Linked DNA regions of Astyanax mexicanus. The protein of the gene in region 2 purifies or fractionates together with the protein of the main gene of each other region. This does not show direct contact. Links are inferred from orthologs where the notes say so. Each region holds a gene or a part of one and is shown on either strand. Other genes may lie near its edges.

The links.
Region 1: the proteins of riok1 (region 2) and wdr77 purify together in Homo sapiens (affinity purification with mass spectrometry; 5 studies listed by BioGRID and IntAct, with this or other methods). This does not show direct contact. The link is inferred for Astyanax mexicanus from reciprocal best matches to the Homo sapiens genes RIOK1 and WDR77.

Annotation. Positions count from the first base shown.
Region 1 is NC_064431.1:32,443,454-32,451,269, reverse strand, and holds the start of wdr77 (methylosome protein 50), read right to left. Parts: upstream 3,017-7,816; 5' UTR 2,865-3,016; coding exon 2,783-2,864; intron 1,648-2,782; coding exon 1,462-1,647; intron 1,367-1,461; coding exon 1,225-1,366; intron 205-1,224; coding exon 155-204; intron 1-154. UniProt on the Homo sapiens protein: Non-catalytic component of the methylosome complex, composed of PRMT5, WDR77 and CLNS1A, which modifies specific arginines to dimethylarginines in several spliceosomal Sm proteins and histones.
Region 2 is NC_064411.1:38,922,504-38,929,781, reverse strand, and holds the start of riok1 (serine/threonine-protein kinase RIO1), read left to right. Parts: upstream 1-4,253; 5' UTR 4,254-4,389; coding exon 4,390-4,463; intron 4,464-5,420; coding exon 5,421-5,679; intron 5,680-6,962; coding exon 6,963-7,047; intron 7,048-7,199; coding exon 7,200-7,269; intron 7,270-7,278. UniProt on the Homo sapiens protein: Involved in the final steps of cytoplasmic maturation of the 40S ribosomal subunit. Involved in processing of 18S-E pre-rRNA to the mature 18S rRNA. Required for the recycling of NOB1 and PNO1 from the late 40S precursor.

The DNA.
Region 1 (7,816 bases), on a different chromosome or scaffold from region 2:
GTGTAGATTAACATCCATCACTCGTTTGAAACCCCTGTTCCCTACTAGTGTCACGCCTTATAATCCTGCGCACTTTATGTATGAAAATGAATCTAAATTAAACTTTTAAACTAAATACATTTGTTTTTCTCGTATAGTGTATAAGTATTCTCACCGCTGTAGCTGCTGATCACCGTCTCCTGACTCAGATCCCAAACTTTAACCCTAAAAACACAGAAGATTCGCTCTTATTAACACCAACATCACTACAACACATGAGCTACACTCACATACAGTGCCATATACCATCTAATGTAGAGCAAATATCCATTAAACTCAGAGAAACACTTTAAAACCATCAGTTTCTCTGATTTTACAATTTATAGGCATATGTTTGATTAAAATGAACATTTGTTGTTTTATTCTGTGAAAACATCTCTCCCAAATTCCAAATAGAAATATAATAAATTTGTCATTTAGAATTTTCATTTGCAGAAAATGAGAAATGTTAAAAACCTCAAATAATGCAAAGAAAACAAGTTCATATTCATTAAGAAATAACAATACTAACGTTTTAAAAACGTTCAGAAATCAATATTTGGTGGAATAACCCTGTTTTATAAATCACAGCTTTCATGTTCTCCTCCACCAGTCTTACACACTGCTTTTGGGTGATCTTATGCCTTTACTCCTGCTACAAAAAAAAAAAAAACTAGTTTAACTTTATTTGTTGGTTTGATGGCTTGTGAACATCCATCTTCCTCTTGATTATATTCCAGAGGTTTTTGACAGGGTTCAGGTCTGGAGATGATTATTAGCCTATTAGCTTTAGCGCTAACTGGTGAGTTTTAACTTCCGTTACTTATAAGCTACATAACATTTAAAGCTCCAGTAATAACACAAGTTTAAGCTTCAATTAGCTTCATGGCTAGGAAGCTACATTATCCTTATTCTTAGCTTCAGTGCTAATTGGTAACTTATAACTTCCATTTTTTGTTAGCTACATTAGCATGCTAAGCTAAGCTGGTGAGTTTAAACTTCCACTACTTATTAGATACATTACCGGTATTCTTGTAGCTCCAGTGATAATATAAGATTAAGCTAAGAAGCTACATTATCCATTATTTTAGCTCCAGTGGTAATTGGTAACTTATATTTCTTGTTAGATACATTAGCATGCTAAGCTAAATGTTGAGGTATAACCCTTGATTACTTCTTAGCTACGTTAGCATTGATGCTGCTGACCTGCAGTCCATGCCGCTGCTGACCGCGTGACCCGCGTCGGCCGTAGGGCTCACTGACGTCACAACGTGATCGTGCTCATGGCGAGTAAACCTGTTTACCAGCAGACGCTCGTCCTCCGCCAGCTCCCATAATTCAACAGCACCTACATAAATAAAGACAATTACGCGAAACATTAGCAAAGAACACAACTGGCCACTGAACCAATCACTAATCGATCAATATCCCCCCTCTGCTCACCTGAGTCTGAGGCGAGGATGATGGCTCTGTTGGTGAGCCACTCAGCGTGGGTAACTCCCGCCTCTGTCTGAACCCCCGCCTTACAGTAACCCTCGTTAGGAGCGAGTTTAGCATCACTGAACACCCAGAGAGAACCGAGCCAACACCGACCCGTCAGACCCGACGCCCCCAACAGCAGAGTCCCATCTGAGAGAAAAACACAGACAAAACACGCTCAGAATACAGCTTCTTCCCCTAGGCCATCAGACTGCTCAACACACAAGAAAGAATGTTTCTTAACGAAACCATAATTACACTGCTCACAGTTTTGAATATTTTTAATGTTAAGCCAAGCCCACTTCTTTGACACAGAGAGGCATGTACAGACATTTACAGACCTAGAAAGACATTTACAGACACAAAGAGACATTAACAAACTTTAAAAATAGAGAAACCTAGACACAAAAAGACATTTACAGACACCGAAACACACACAGAGAAACACAGAGAAAGAAACACACACACACACACACAGACACAGACACAGAAAAACAGACACACACCGAGATACAGATACACAGAAACACAGAGATACAGAAACACAGAGATACAGACACACAGAAACACAGAGATACAGACACACAGAAACACAGAGATACAGAAACACAGAGATACAGACACACAGACACACAGAGATACAGACACAACAGAGATACAGACACAACAGAGATACAGACACACAGAGATACAGACACACAGAGATACAGACACACAGACAGAAACACACAGATACAGGTCACATAAACATACAGAGATAAAGAACACACAGAAACACACAGAGATACAGAAACACACAGAGATACAGAAACACACAGAGATACAGAAACACACAGAGACACAGAAACACAGGGATACAGAAACACACACAGAAACACACAAAGATACAGAAACACACACACACACAGAAACACAGAAACATACAGAAACACACACAGAAACACACAGAGATACAGAGATGCACAGAGATACACAGAGAAACACACAGATATACAGACACACAAACACAGAGATACACAGAAACAGTGATACTCAGAAACACACAGATATACAGAAACACACAGAGAGAAACACAGACAGACACACACACACACACACACACAAAAACACACACACACACACACACACACACACACACACACACACACACAAACACACAAACACACAAACACACACACACACATACACTCACTCACTCACTCACTCACTCACTCACTCCTGCAGCAGGCTGTGGTGTATTTTACCTCTAATTATAGGTAAGGTAAGGGTAGTTAAGGTAAGTTACCTGTTCTGTACTGCAGGGTCTCCAGGTGTCTCTCCATGCACGCGGGCGCGCTCGCGGGGCACCAGCGGCTCTCGGTTAGCATCCTGCAGCTCAGCGCGGCGGCTCTCAGTCTTTACCTGATTATTTACCGGTTTATTTATTTACCGGTTTGTTTGTGAGTCTGTTTTTCCAGCGCGCGAATGAATGGCCGGAGAGATGGAGCAGCGTACATGCGCCTCTGACATCCACTCACTTCCGCTTCCGGATAAAAGTCCCACTTTTAAATGAATAAAAGTCTACTAATATTTTTATTATTATTATTATTATTATTATTATTATTATTATTATTATTACTATCATTTCCAACAGAACGAGCTTTTATAATCCAGAAAATATAAGCAAAATGTTGTCCAATCAGAGCCGGTTTATGGACGGATATGGTTGTTTGCGAGTTTCAGCTACACCCGATAAAATAAGAGTTCATAATATAAAATAAATTACATTTTAAAACTCGCTCATATTAAAAACCTCATACTTTGATTATCTAAGGTTCGTTAAATATAATTAAATAAACTTTTTTTTTTTTTTTTGTCCAATGGCGTTTAGTGCAGGTACAACTTCAACGTAAAAGTCCGTGATCTTGAAGCTGAAATCCAACTATATAAAATGCAGAGTCCTTTAAAAAAAGAAAACAACTAAAAATTAAAATAAAAATGTTATATAAACAGTATATTGTAAAACTATATTGGATTTTTTTTAGGAAACAGTTCCCTGATTAACAGCTTACAGCTAGTAAATAGCATTGGAAATAAAAATGTATGAGCTTTGAAAATGTATTTAAAAAAAGAAAATTTCCCAAGACAAGGTATTTATTCAGGCTTTGGTATTTGAACAGCCAAACTCTCTGTTGTTTTTGGTTCTTCAGCTGAAATTTAACACAAAATATCTCGCAATAAAATCTACATATAAACAGATTGAGTTTTTTATTCTTAAAAAAAAAATAAAATAAAAGTAATTAAGGTTGTTTGAGGTTGTTTATTTTTCATGTGAACAGTTTTAAAATTATAAAATACAAATAAAATCTAAATAATAATGAATATACATTTACAAAATTTACACTTACAATTATAGATACAAAAAATATATAATGTAAGAATAGCAAACACACACACAGCTGCCATCTAGTATTAAACACAGAACATCAGCTGATTTGATTTGCAGTGCATTCTGGGAAACAGTAGATCAATAAGTTACACACATCCATCGCTACACTTTAATGCATGGAACAGTTTTTGCTTAATAGAACATTTTCTGATCTTGACGGTTAATGTTCTTACATTTTCAGGATGTTCTTAGAGTGTTTTTACTTAACATTTTTAAACATCATGGTAACGTCACTGCAATGTTACAGTTTAACGTTAATGGAACCTTTTTAAAATGTTGATAAATGTTCTCAGTGAGCTGAGAAGATGCTACATACGATGGGTGTATGGGGGGAGTGTGTGTTCCAGGGGTCTCCTGTAGGTTAAGGGCCCTCTCTCCTCCTCAAAATGCAGTGAGGGCCTCAGTTCACTGTAAGTGTGTGTGTCTGTGTGAGAGTGTGTGTCTGTGAGTGTGTGTGTGTGTGAGAGAGTGTGTGAGTGTGTGTGTGTGATCTCCCGCAGGGTTGCGAGCAGCTCCTCGTACTGTTCCTCTGGTCCAGTCTGGACGTCCTCAGTGCAGAAGGTCAAACGCAGCATGTCGGCCACGCCCACCACGACCCCCAGCAGAGCCAACACTGAGCCCACCAGGTAAACCCTCAGCAACCCCGGCCTGAACCTCAGAGACAACAGCTCCCGGGCCAGCGGCACCAGCACTCTACTGTCCATCAGCATCATAACCACCGTCCTGATGAGTAATAAATACAAAACACACAGTTAAAACACATTAAAACAACATAAAAACAACCATACAGAAAAAAACTATACAGATAAAACACACCAAACCCCTCAAAACAATTAAACACATTACAATAATACAGATAAAACAAATCAAACACTTAAAAACAAGCAAACACATCAAAGCAATATTGTTTAAACACATTAAACACATCAAAGGAACCAAACACATCAAAACAATACCGTTAAAACACATCAAACACATCAAAACTATACAGATAAAACACATCTAACACTTCAAAACAATACAGTTAAAACACATCATACACATTCAAACATCCAAATACATCAAAACAATTGTTAGACACATCAAAACAACATACAAAAAAACATCAAAACAATACAATTAAAACACCTCAAACACTAAAAACCAACCAAACACACCAAAAATACAGATAAAACACACCAAACACTTTAAAACAACCAAACATATTAAAACAATACAGTTATAACCCACGAAACTCTTTAAAGCAACCAAACACATCAAAACTTTTACTTTTATACTTTAAATAATTTTTGAATCCAGTACTTTTTTAAACACTTTTACTTAAAGAGTAAAATGCTTGAGTTGATTCTTCTTTAACTTCTACTTCTAAGTATTTTATTAAACACTCTATACTTCTAACTACAGAGTAATGATTATTTGTTTATTTTATTTAATGAATAAAGAATAAACAGAGAAATCACACACTGACCTGTCTGAACAGCTCTCTCCACACTGTCCCTCACTTTCCCTCTGTGAGGTTTATACTGGTGTGTGTGCGTGTGTGTGTGTGTGTGTGTGTGTGTGTGTGTGTGTGTGTGTGTGCTGGTGCAGGTATGCTCCGCCCACTGTGTGTTTACACTGTTTACACATTTCCTCTGTGAGTAAGCTGGTTGGCTCAGACAGGCTTGGCTAATGCTAATGCTAATGTGTCTGACACTGCAGACGTCCGGCTCGCTCCGGCTGTAACGCTGGATTATACACACACACACACACGCACACACACACACACACACACACACACACACACACACTAAACTCAGCAGACAGGAATTTCCAAGCTCACACAACATGTAACCTCAGCCCAGTCTGTCTGCAACAGCTTGTTTAAAAAATTGTTACATTTGTCGTATTTTTGGTTAAAAAACGTTTTCACACATTCTCTGCTGATTACAGGTCAGTCCGGTCCAGAACCAGTGTTGTGCCGATTTCAGCACCCCCGCCAGGAAAAGCACCCCCTCTCGGGAGCGCGCACGTACATCTTCTTGGTTTTAACTTTATTTTTCATTATTTCTTTTGAGTCACCGTAGCTTAGAACAGCATATTGAGTATATTCATTTTCTAAAAATAGTCATGTCACCTGCAGCCTTAATTCAATAATGAAATATATATATATTTTATAAAATTTGTAGTCCTATTTTAGCGATCTATAGGCAAGCCATCAACCGTGCACTGTGCAGCTTGATTTAGAGCGCGTTGGTGTGTCTTTGCTATCATAACGGTGGGAAAAGTACACCTTGCATGACTCAAGTTATGTACTAATTCTCTTAATTAATCGTGGGTGTGGTTAATTTTGGGTGTAACATGACATAAACCAATCAGAGTGTCACTTTAAGCTCATCATTCTCTTTAAGAGTAGATCAGGTGAGCTCTGACTTTGGCGGATTGCTATTTTAACAGTGCAGCTACCTGGACCTGGAAACTGAGCTGCTGGTTGACGCTGTGAAGGAGATCCAGCAGCTAATTTACGGGAACAGCAATGTTATTTTATTTATTATTTTGTTTATTGTTGATCTACATATGGCACAGTTGCGTTGCCAAGATAGCAATAAACCAGAAATTTACCTGAACCTCATTTTCAGACCACCACGCCCATCAGTGTAGATATATTCAGAAGCACTGTTGCTATTTAAACAATGCAGGAGGAACGAGTGGAAATAGACTGTTGACAAGGTGTAAGATAGCAATGAGCATCACAACGCATCATGCACATGTTGTAAGACAGGGCCTTCATTATTTATTGGTGTTTTTATCTCATTTAGGTAAAGCATCGGATTGCATATCATCCTGACATTTTCTGATTTGGGGTTTTAGACTGATTCATCCCACCAAACCACGACACACCTCATCGCCATGGAGACCGGCAGCTGGGTGTGTCTGCCTCTGTCTGGCTTTTTGTAGAAAAAGATGAGTCAGAAAACACACACACACACACACACACACACCTGAGGCTGGTTCATACCTGCACTGGAGAATGTACCGCAGATTCAGTGCCTTCAGGCTACACTTTACTGCACACCACACCCAGAACACACATCGTCACCTCACCTCACACACCCTCACACACACACACACACACACACACACACACACTAACACACACTGCCATATGATTACTGTGCCCCAGGCTGAGGAAAACAACTCCAGCACCTTCAGATCTTTGCAACAACACAACCACGTCCCATAATAACCTTCAGCTTCAGTCTTCATAAATGCCTGTTCGCAATTACCTATTTAATACGTTTAAATCACTGTGGCTGTAAATACAGAGCAGAAAAATCTGAACAATTTCAAGAACTTTGAAAGTATCCTCAAGTGCAGTCACCGCAAAAAACATTGAAAACTTTATGATGGAACTGGCACTCATCAGGAATGCCCTGGAAAGGAAGAGCAAGATTTCCTCTGTTGTACAGGAAGTTCATCAGAGTTACCAGCCTCAGAAAGCACAAGTTAACAAACAGCTCCCCAGATAAGAGTATTTAGGTTTGTTTAACACTGTTTTTAAGTTACTACATGATTCCTTATGTGTTCCTTTATAATCTGATAGATCACTTAACTATTAATTTATAATGTAGGAAAAAATATTAAAAATAAAAACATTGAATGAGAAGGTGTGTCTAAACTAAAGTGCAGAGTAATTAGTGCTGTATATACATTTAAAATGATGATATTCTCTGGGTGTGATACGGTATGGCACGGTACGGGCAGGTCAGACTCAGTGATGTTCTGTTATTGCTGATGCTCCTCTGATCTCTCCTGTCAGAACAAGCCCAGAACTGAGAGTTTAACTCACTTTAATACAACACTGCTGCAGATACTGTAGCTTTAATGCTAACTATACTAACACTGAGCTTC
Region 2 (7,278 bases):
AAAAAGTGGTTCGCTACGAAGAGGCCTTTTGTCACTTTTGTATATTAAGAATTATTAAGAATTAAGATGTGACTGAACACGCTTCACCTCTGATCAACTATCAGTAATAGAAATGCTGCATCTCAGAGCCGAACACGACTATGCAAACTATGCAATGTTACAGTAGAGCAATAATAATAATAAAACCCTCTTCTAAGAGAGCATATCATGGTTAAAGCTCAGCCTGCAAAAAAAAAATCTAAAATCGCAATCGTTTGTTTTTTTAAGATTTGTCAGATTTTCTAAAGGTTCCAACAGCTGGTCTTCATGTAACAGTGTTTTCCCAAGGAAACACAGCGAAGAGTTCTAAGATGTGTCACTATTTTTGCGGAAACAAATCATCTATATATATATATATATATATATATATATATATATATATATATATATATATATATATATATATATATGTGTATATATTTTATAAATTTTTTTCTTTACTATAGTGTGTTTATGAGAAATGTATGTGTGCCTGCTTACGTAGTGTGTGTGTGTGTGTGTGTGTGTGTGTACGCGCAATTATCAACGATAGACAACACACTGAATATTTTATGTATTTATTGATCCTAGAGAGAGAGTGGTCAGAGCTCATGCTTATGAGAAGCCATGTGGACTCCGTGTGTGCTACAAGGAGAATCAGAAGAAGAAAAACGATGACTGTAGCACTGAACAATCTTGAAGTTCTTTTTATTATCAGTTATTTTATGAGCTGTTCGCCATAAATTACATTTTATGATTGTTTGTTTGGTTATATGTTTGTTTGTTTTTTATGTTTGTAATGCAGCCCCATCATCACACACACATGCATTAACAAAGTACATATTTGTTACTGGACCTTGAATGGATTTAGTCCAGTTTGAATTATTAGATGATTTATTTTTTTTTATTGCATGTCTAATTAATTTTGGTGGTTACCAGTTCTTCTCTTTCTCAGGGGCTCTTCAAATTATGCATATGTAAAAAAAGAAATAAATCCAAGCTTTGTGGGTGAGCTAGCTACTCGCTCTCGTTTCTACAGCAAGCAAAGCAGTCACTACAGTTACTACATGCATACGAATGTGAATCTCTTCAGGAAACCGACCGCCTTTGGCTTCATCTCAGCGTTGTCCTCATTTTCATCATTGTCTTTCTCGTGATTCTGCATGTTTTAAACCTTTCAGCTGTTTTGTGTTTTGTCACTGTCAAACGACTGCATTTGTTAAAGGGATTGCACATGTTTTGTCTCACGTTTGTTCAGTTTTAGAAAGCTAGAGTTTTTTTTTTTTTTTTTTTTTTTTTCAGCCCTGTTATCTCCGATACAATCATTCAAACAATAAATATACACTAAGAAAGAGTGAGAAATTCAACACGACTCGGTTCTTCTTTTAATAGGCTATATGGTCAAAAATATTAGTACACATGCTCGTTTTTTATTTCTTTTTTCATTTTTTAGACCTCAATCGCACTAATGCTCTGTTTGCTGAATGCAAAGTTCACCACCCCACCTGTTCCACAACCCATTCCAAAAGTATCTCAGAAAATATGCTCATGAGGGGCTATTACAGGTAGCCCAACTGGGAACCAGAATTTTTTGTCTTAACGATTCCATATTTACCCCACATACAGTATGCATGTCTCAGGGTCAGCCACTCCATTGCAAAGGCCAATTTCTCCAGCCTGTCACTCAGTCAGCTGTATTCTCCTTGCTAAGCCCTCCTGTAGCCCGAACAAAGCTGTTCATACCTTCTGCTTCAGCTTTACAACAAAATGTCTTGATGAGCGAACCAATTGAAATACTTAAAAATTACCTAAAATTAACTTTTTTTTTTTAACATTGACTTCCATTAAAAGTTCAGATGTTTTTGTCTCTTTTATTCATTGGACACTGACAGTATATAAAAGTCCTGTCCAAGAACACATAAAATAACTTCACTAATTATTAATCTCTCCTGATTGGGTAAAAAAAATGGTCAGGAGTCTTGGAATCCAGCAATAAACAATCAAAAAGGAAAACACCATAAATAAATACAATCAAGTTCAAACAGTGACACAGCATTTAATAAATACAAATAAATCACACCCACTTTAAATTAAATCCAAACACAATTACATTATTTCAATATTGCTCTACTAAATAAGCAAAATATGTATGTCCATTACGCTAGATAGAAATGCTATACAATTAGGGTTGGTTCTGCTGTTTGACTGTATGATAAACTATCCTCTTATATCATGTTTAATCTGTAAATAGCCATAACAACTATGGCGTTTTTTTGTTTCCTCAAAAACTACAAAAATATTTAATTATTAATCAGCAAATATTTTAGGAATGTGTCAGTATTTTTTTTCTGCACATCTTTATAATAATGAATAACGAAGAGGATGGGGTAAGTTCTGCCAAATCAAAAAAAAAGTTTGACGTGTCTAGATTAATAACTTAAAGAGGCACTAAAACCCTCAGCTAAAATTTAAAAAAGGCTAGTTTGGGAGGGGTATTGGGTGATGTATGGGAGAGCTGATTGGCTGAGCTGCAGCAGCAGCAGCCGTGTGTCTCTGATAGTGGTGAGATGCAGATGGTTGGACTCATAGACTTGGACTTCAGCAAGGGGGCGGTAGTATTAATAGACTGATCTGCATATTTTGATATGTCTACCAAAGTATCCACGCCTATACCACAGACAAACCTGTGAGGCGCTGCAGGAAAGGTTAGGAAATGTTTCTAGAAATTTAGGCAGATTTGGTATGTTTTACTATAGACATCATATACGTATAAGATATCTATGTGTTTTACTACTATAAAGGAACACATTACAGCTATTAATGGTAAATATATGGTTTAGGGTTTAGTGGCTCTTTTAAAATATGATTGGGAAAGCTGAGGAAGAAAAATGTCCTTCAAGTCCTCCTCGAAAATTCATACTTACGAGTTTGGAGACGAATTTACGACTTTGGTCGGGTAGAAGTGGACGCCATAAGGAAAATCCTTTTGTTTATACTTTTGGTTTATTATCATAAAAAAAGGAGATTACTTTGCCCTACTCCAAGAGAATGAGGCGAATAAGACACGCATTAGAGTAATTGATGTTTTTTATCCCGTTAGAACCGTCATACTAGACTTTTACGTTATTTCACGTATCGCTAGTGATTTTATTAGTAAGCTAATAACCTTCAAGTGTTTAAGTGTTAAGCAGTTTACAATACGAACTGTCTGCATCAATTTATTGAATTTATTTATCAGTATCAGAATGTATTTTAATCAATTTATTGACAAGCCCCCAACTTGGAAACTCGGGGCTTATCTAAAAAGTCTCCCAATGGTAAATACGAGTTTGTAGTGGCGTTCATGTGCTCTCATCTCGTAAATATAATATTTCTGATACAACTTGAAGGCAGCAATTATAAATTGAAATCTTTTTAAGTTAATCGGTAGAACAAAATATTTAGAGACAACAAAAATATAAAAGAAATTGTATTAAACTGAAGCGATGAAGCCATACGAAGCTGCGAATATACAGCCAAACGAATCTGGAGCTGCGAATAAACCAACTTCAGCCTCGTGGTTTCTTTTCAGTAAGGAAAAGATTTTCGAAATATTATTTTCTACTCATTCTCATTTTTACTTTAGGAGCTTTATGTTTATAGAGCAATCCTTGATGTAATAAAACGACATTTTATTATTAACTGTTTAGTAAATTCATGTTCCCAGAATATCCCTTTCAGACCCGAAATATATCCAGCGTTAAAAAATGCACAAAAATGTCTGTAATGCACAGAAAAGAGCACTTCAATATTCTATTATAAAATCTATATAAGCAAACAAATTCAGTTAACTAATATATATATATATATATATATATATATATATATATATATATATATATATATATATATATATATATTATCTTTTATTTCAAGTGCATTGAAAGCCTATGTGTAATATTTTATATTTTTTAATATTGACGTTTTTATTTCATAAACAGTTTATCTCTAAACTGAAAAAAAAGAGTTCTAAATCTGTTTCAGTGGTATATAAACTTGTTATAAACTTGCTTTATAGTCCATGATGGAGAACAGCTCTTAAATAGAGTTATGTGCAACAAAACATTTAAAATAAAGGAAATACATGGTGTCCATTGTAATAGATTCTAAAAGGAATATTACTAAACGATTCATTCAAACCTGAGGTATTCCTGCTGGTGATTAGCATTTTGCGTTTGACTTTTCCTGCTCTCAACTGATCCCTCTCGGCACCCTTACCCACGCTGTGCTCTGTGTGTTCAGTTCAGGTGGAGTTTAGCTAGGTTAGGCTAACCTGGTTTACCTGATTGTGGTGTTTTATTTATTGTATGTTCTGTGTGTTCAGTGTTGAGGATGGACAGTTGGAGCTGTAGAGAGATGCCGCAGATCGTCCCCGGACAGTTTGACGACGCGGAGGAATCTGGAAGGTATGGAAGTAAACATTAGCTATAGGCTAACAGGCTAACTGTGTTTATCACAGCTCACCAGTTCAACAGATACTGAGGGTAACTTACTTTCACAGGCATTCATTAATGTTACATGCTGTTCTGTGCTGTTAAATAAATGCGCTGAACTATTAATAATTATTAGTTCCACCTTAAAAGACTCAGCATGCAGCTCTGCTTAAGGTGGAACGGGGAAACCCAAATTCACTTCATGATTATGTAAAGTAGGAGGACAGTGAGTCATATTTTCCGGGACATACCAGCAGAGAGAGAGATAAAGAAAGAAAGAGGGAGAGAATAAATTGGAGGCAGAACAATGAAGATAAATATTGGGTGATACAAACAACAAGAGAGAAAGAATGAGAGAAAAATAGGTGAGAGAATGAGAGAAAAGAAAGAACAAGAGAATATTGCTGATGAAGTAAATACTCAATGATATTCTAATTTTTGAGATACACTCATAAATTGAAATAATGAGAGAGAAAGTGGGTGAAAGAGCAAAATAAAAAAGTGAAGAGAAATGAGAGCGAGAGTGAAAAGAGTGGGTTAAAGTGGTAAATGGAGTGTCAGTAGGTGGATATATATGAAGAAACATGTAAAAAGAGAGGATGATAGAAACAAAGAAAGAATAAGAGGAAAAAAGGGTAATGGAAAGAGATGGGAGTAAGAACAAGGGAATAAAGAGGGGTAAAAAAGAAAGAGGGAAGAGGAATATTCAAAGAATAAAGGAGAGATGGAAGAAAATGAGTGGGTGAAATATAAAATATAAAGAGAAAGGGAAATAAAAAGAGTAAAAGTGGGTGACAGAGATACAGAGAGAATGAGAGAAAGAGAATGGAGGAAGCGATGATCACCATGAATGACTTGTTTCTGGTAATATAAACACCTGCTCGGACTGAACCTCAGTAACGTGAATGTATATCTGTTTTTATTCTCCAGTGACTCAGAACTCAGTCAGAGCACAGACAAACCTGCAACACTGGAGACCAAACTCAGTGGAGTGAACCTGCAGCCCTCACCCATTAAACCTCTACAGCAGGGCGGTGATATTGCTGCTGATGATGATGTAGATGAAGATGATGATGATGATGAAGATGATGAAGATGATGATGACTATGATGAATGGGACTGGAGTGGGTCATCTGGAGGGAATATTACTAAACGCTACACTGCAGTGAGGACTGGAAGCAATCCACAGGTATTCCATTAACAAAATATACTAAAATTTCTTTACATTACAAAATTAAGTGGGTTCAAACTGAAAAAAAAGATTCTTTTGATTTCTGACTAGCATAACATTTTATAATGTTGTGCTTTTCAAATTTAGTGTTTTATTATTTATACGTTGGAAAGATTTGTTCAGATTTTTGGTTGTTTTTTGTTGTTAAAAGTTGTAAAAACCAGAGCAATCTTTACATTATTGACTTTTTATATAATATATAGACATAAACTTAATATTTATTGCTGACCCCAAATATTGCCCATTATGTGTACTTAGCGAGGAGATTCCATTATTGCAGATGAGCATGTCTTACAAAACTGCCAATATTTTGTCCACTACCAATTTGGGCGGCAAGGTGGCTTAGTGGTTAGCACGGTTGTCTACCCGTCTCTGTCTGGGTGGAGTTTTCATGTTCTCTTAGTGTCCATTTGGGTTTCCTTCAGGAACTTTAGTTTCCTCACACAGTTCAAAAAGGTAGGAATCAGGTAAATTGGACTGTAAATCACTCTAAATTGCCCAGAAAATTTGGTGTGTGTGGAGGTGGTGTAGATATGCATTCTTCTGTTTCTGGTATACACTGCCTTGCAAAAAAAAAGTCATCACCTGGATTTAAGTAAGTAAATGATGTGGGGTTGATGCTGCAGTTGGTCAGGTGTTGGTTCAGCAACAGTATGTGCTGAAAGAACGAGGTCAGCTGACTACCTGAACATAGACCAGCTTATTCCATCAATTGATAAGTTCTAGGATTCATGAGGCTGGAATTGTGAGAGTGATACAGGGAGCATGAGATCATCATTTTCACACATGGATTGTTCACTAGACCTTAACCTCATTGAGAATCTTTGGGATGTGCTGGAGAAGACTTTGTGCAGTGGTCAGACTCTACCATCATCAATGCTGCTGCAAGATCTTGGTGAAAAATTAATGCAACACTGAACTGAAATAAATCGTGTGATGTTGCAGAATCTTATTAAAACAATCACACGGTCAATGCGTGCCGCCCAGGCAGTGTTTAACTTCATTTATTCAATGTCTGAATGTTTCTAATTTGTATGTAATTATTTCTGTGACAACATATCTATATATCACAATGTAGTCATTATTATTAATGTCTAGTTATTTTGAGCCTGTAAAAATTGTGGGACTTTGTTAAACCCAATGAACCGATGCCCCAATCACATCCTGTTTGCTTCATTTCAAACACATGAAGGTCATATACAGAGGCACAGTTATGAAAAGTGTTGTTTGTTTTGTTCCAGGCTAATCGACAGGGTTCAAAATCTGACAAGATGTCTACACCATCAGACAAAGTCCTGAGGAAGTTTGAACACAAAATAAATCTGGGTAAGTTGAGCGTATTTTGTGCTCAGTGAGTGAGTGTGTTCAATAAGAGGAAGGAAGTCTCGGGTTTGGGTTCGGTGATTTCAGTAGATGTAAAAATAAATACTTTCTATTCTTTCTCACACTCAGTAATTTCGGTTGCTTTTATGTTTCAGATAAACTGAACTATGCTGATTCTGTGATCAACAAAGTCACGGTGATGCAGAAACAACGAGATTCAGACACGTTAGTAGA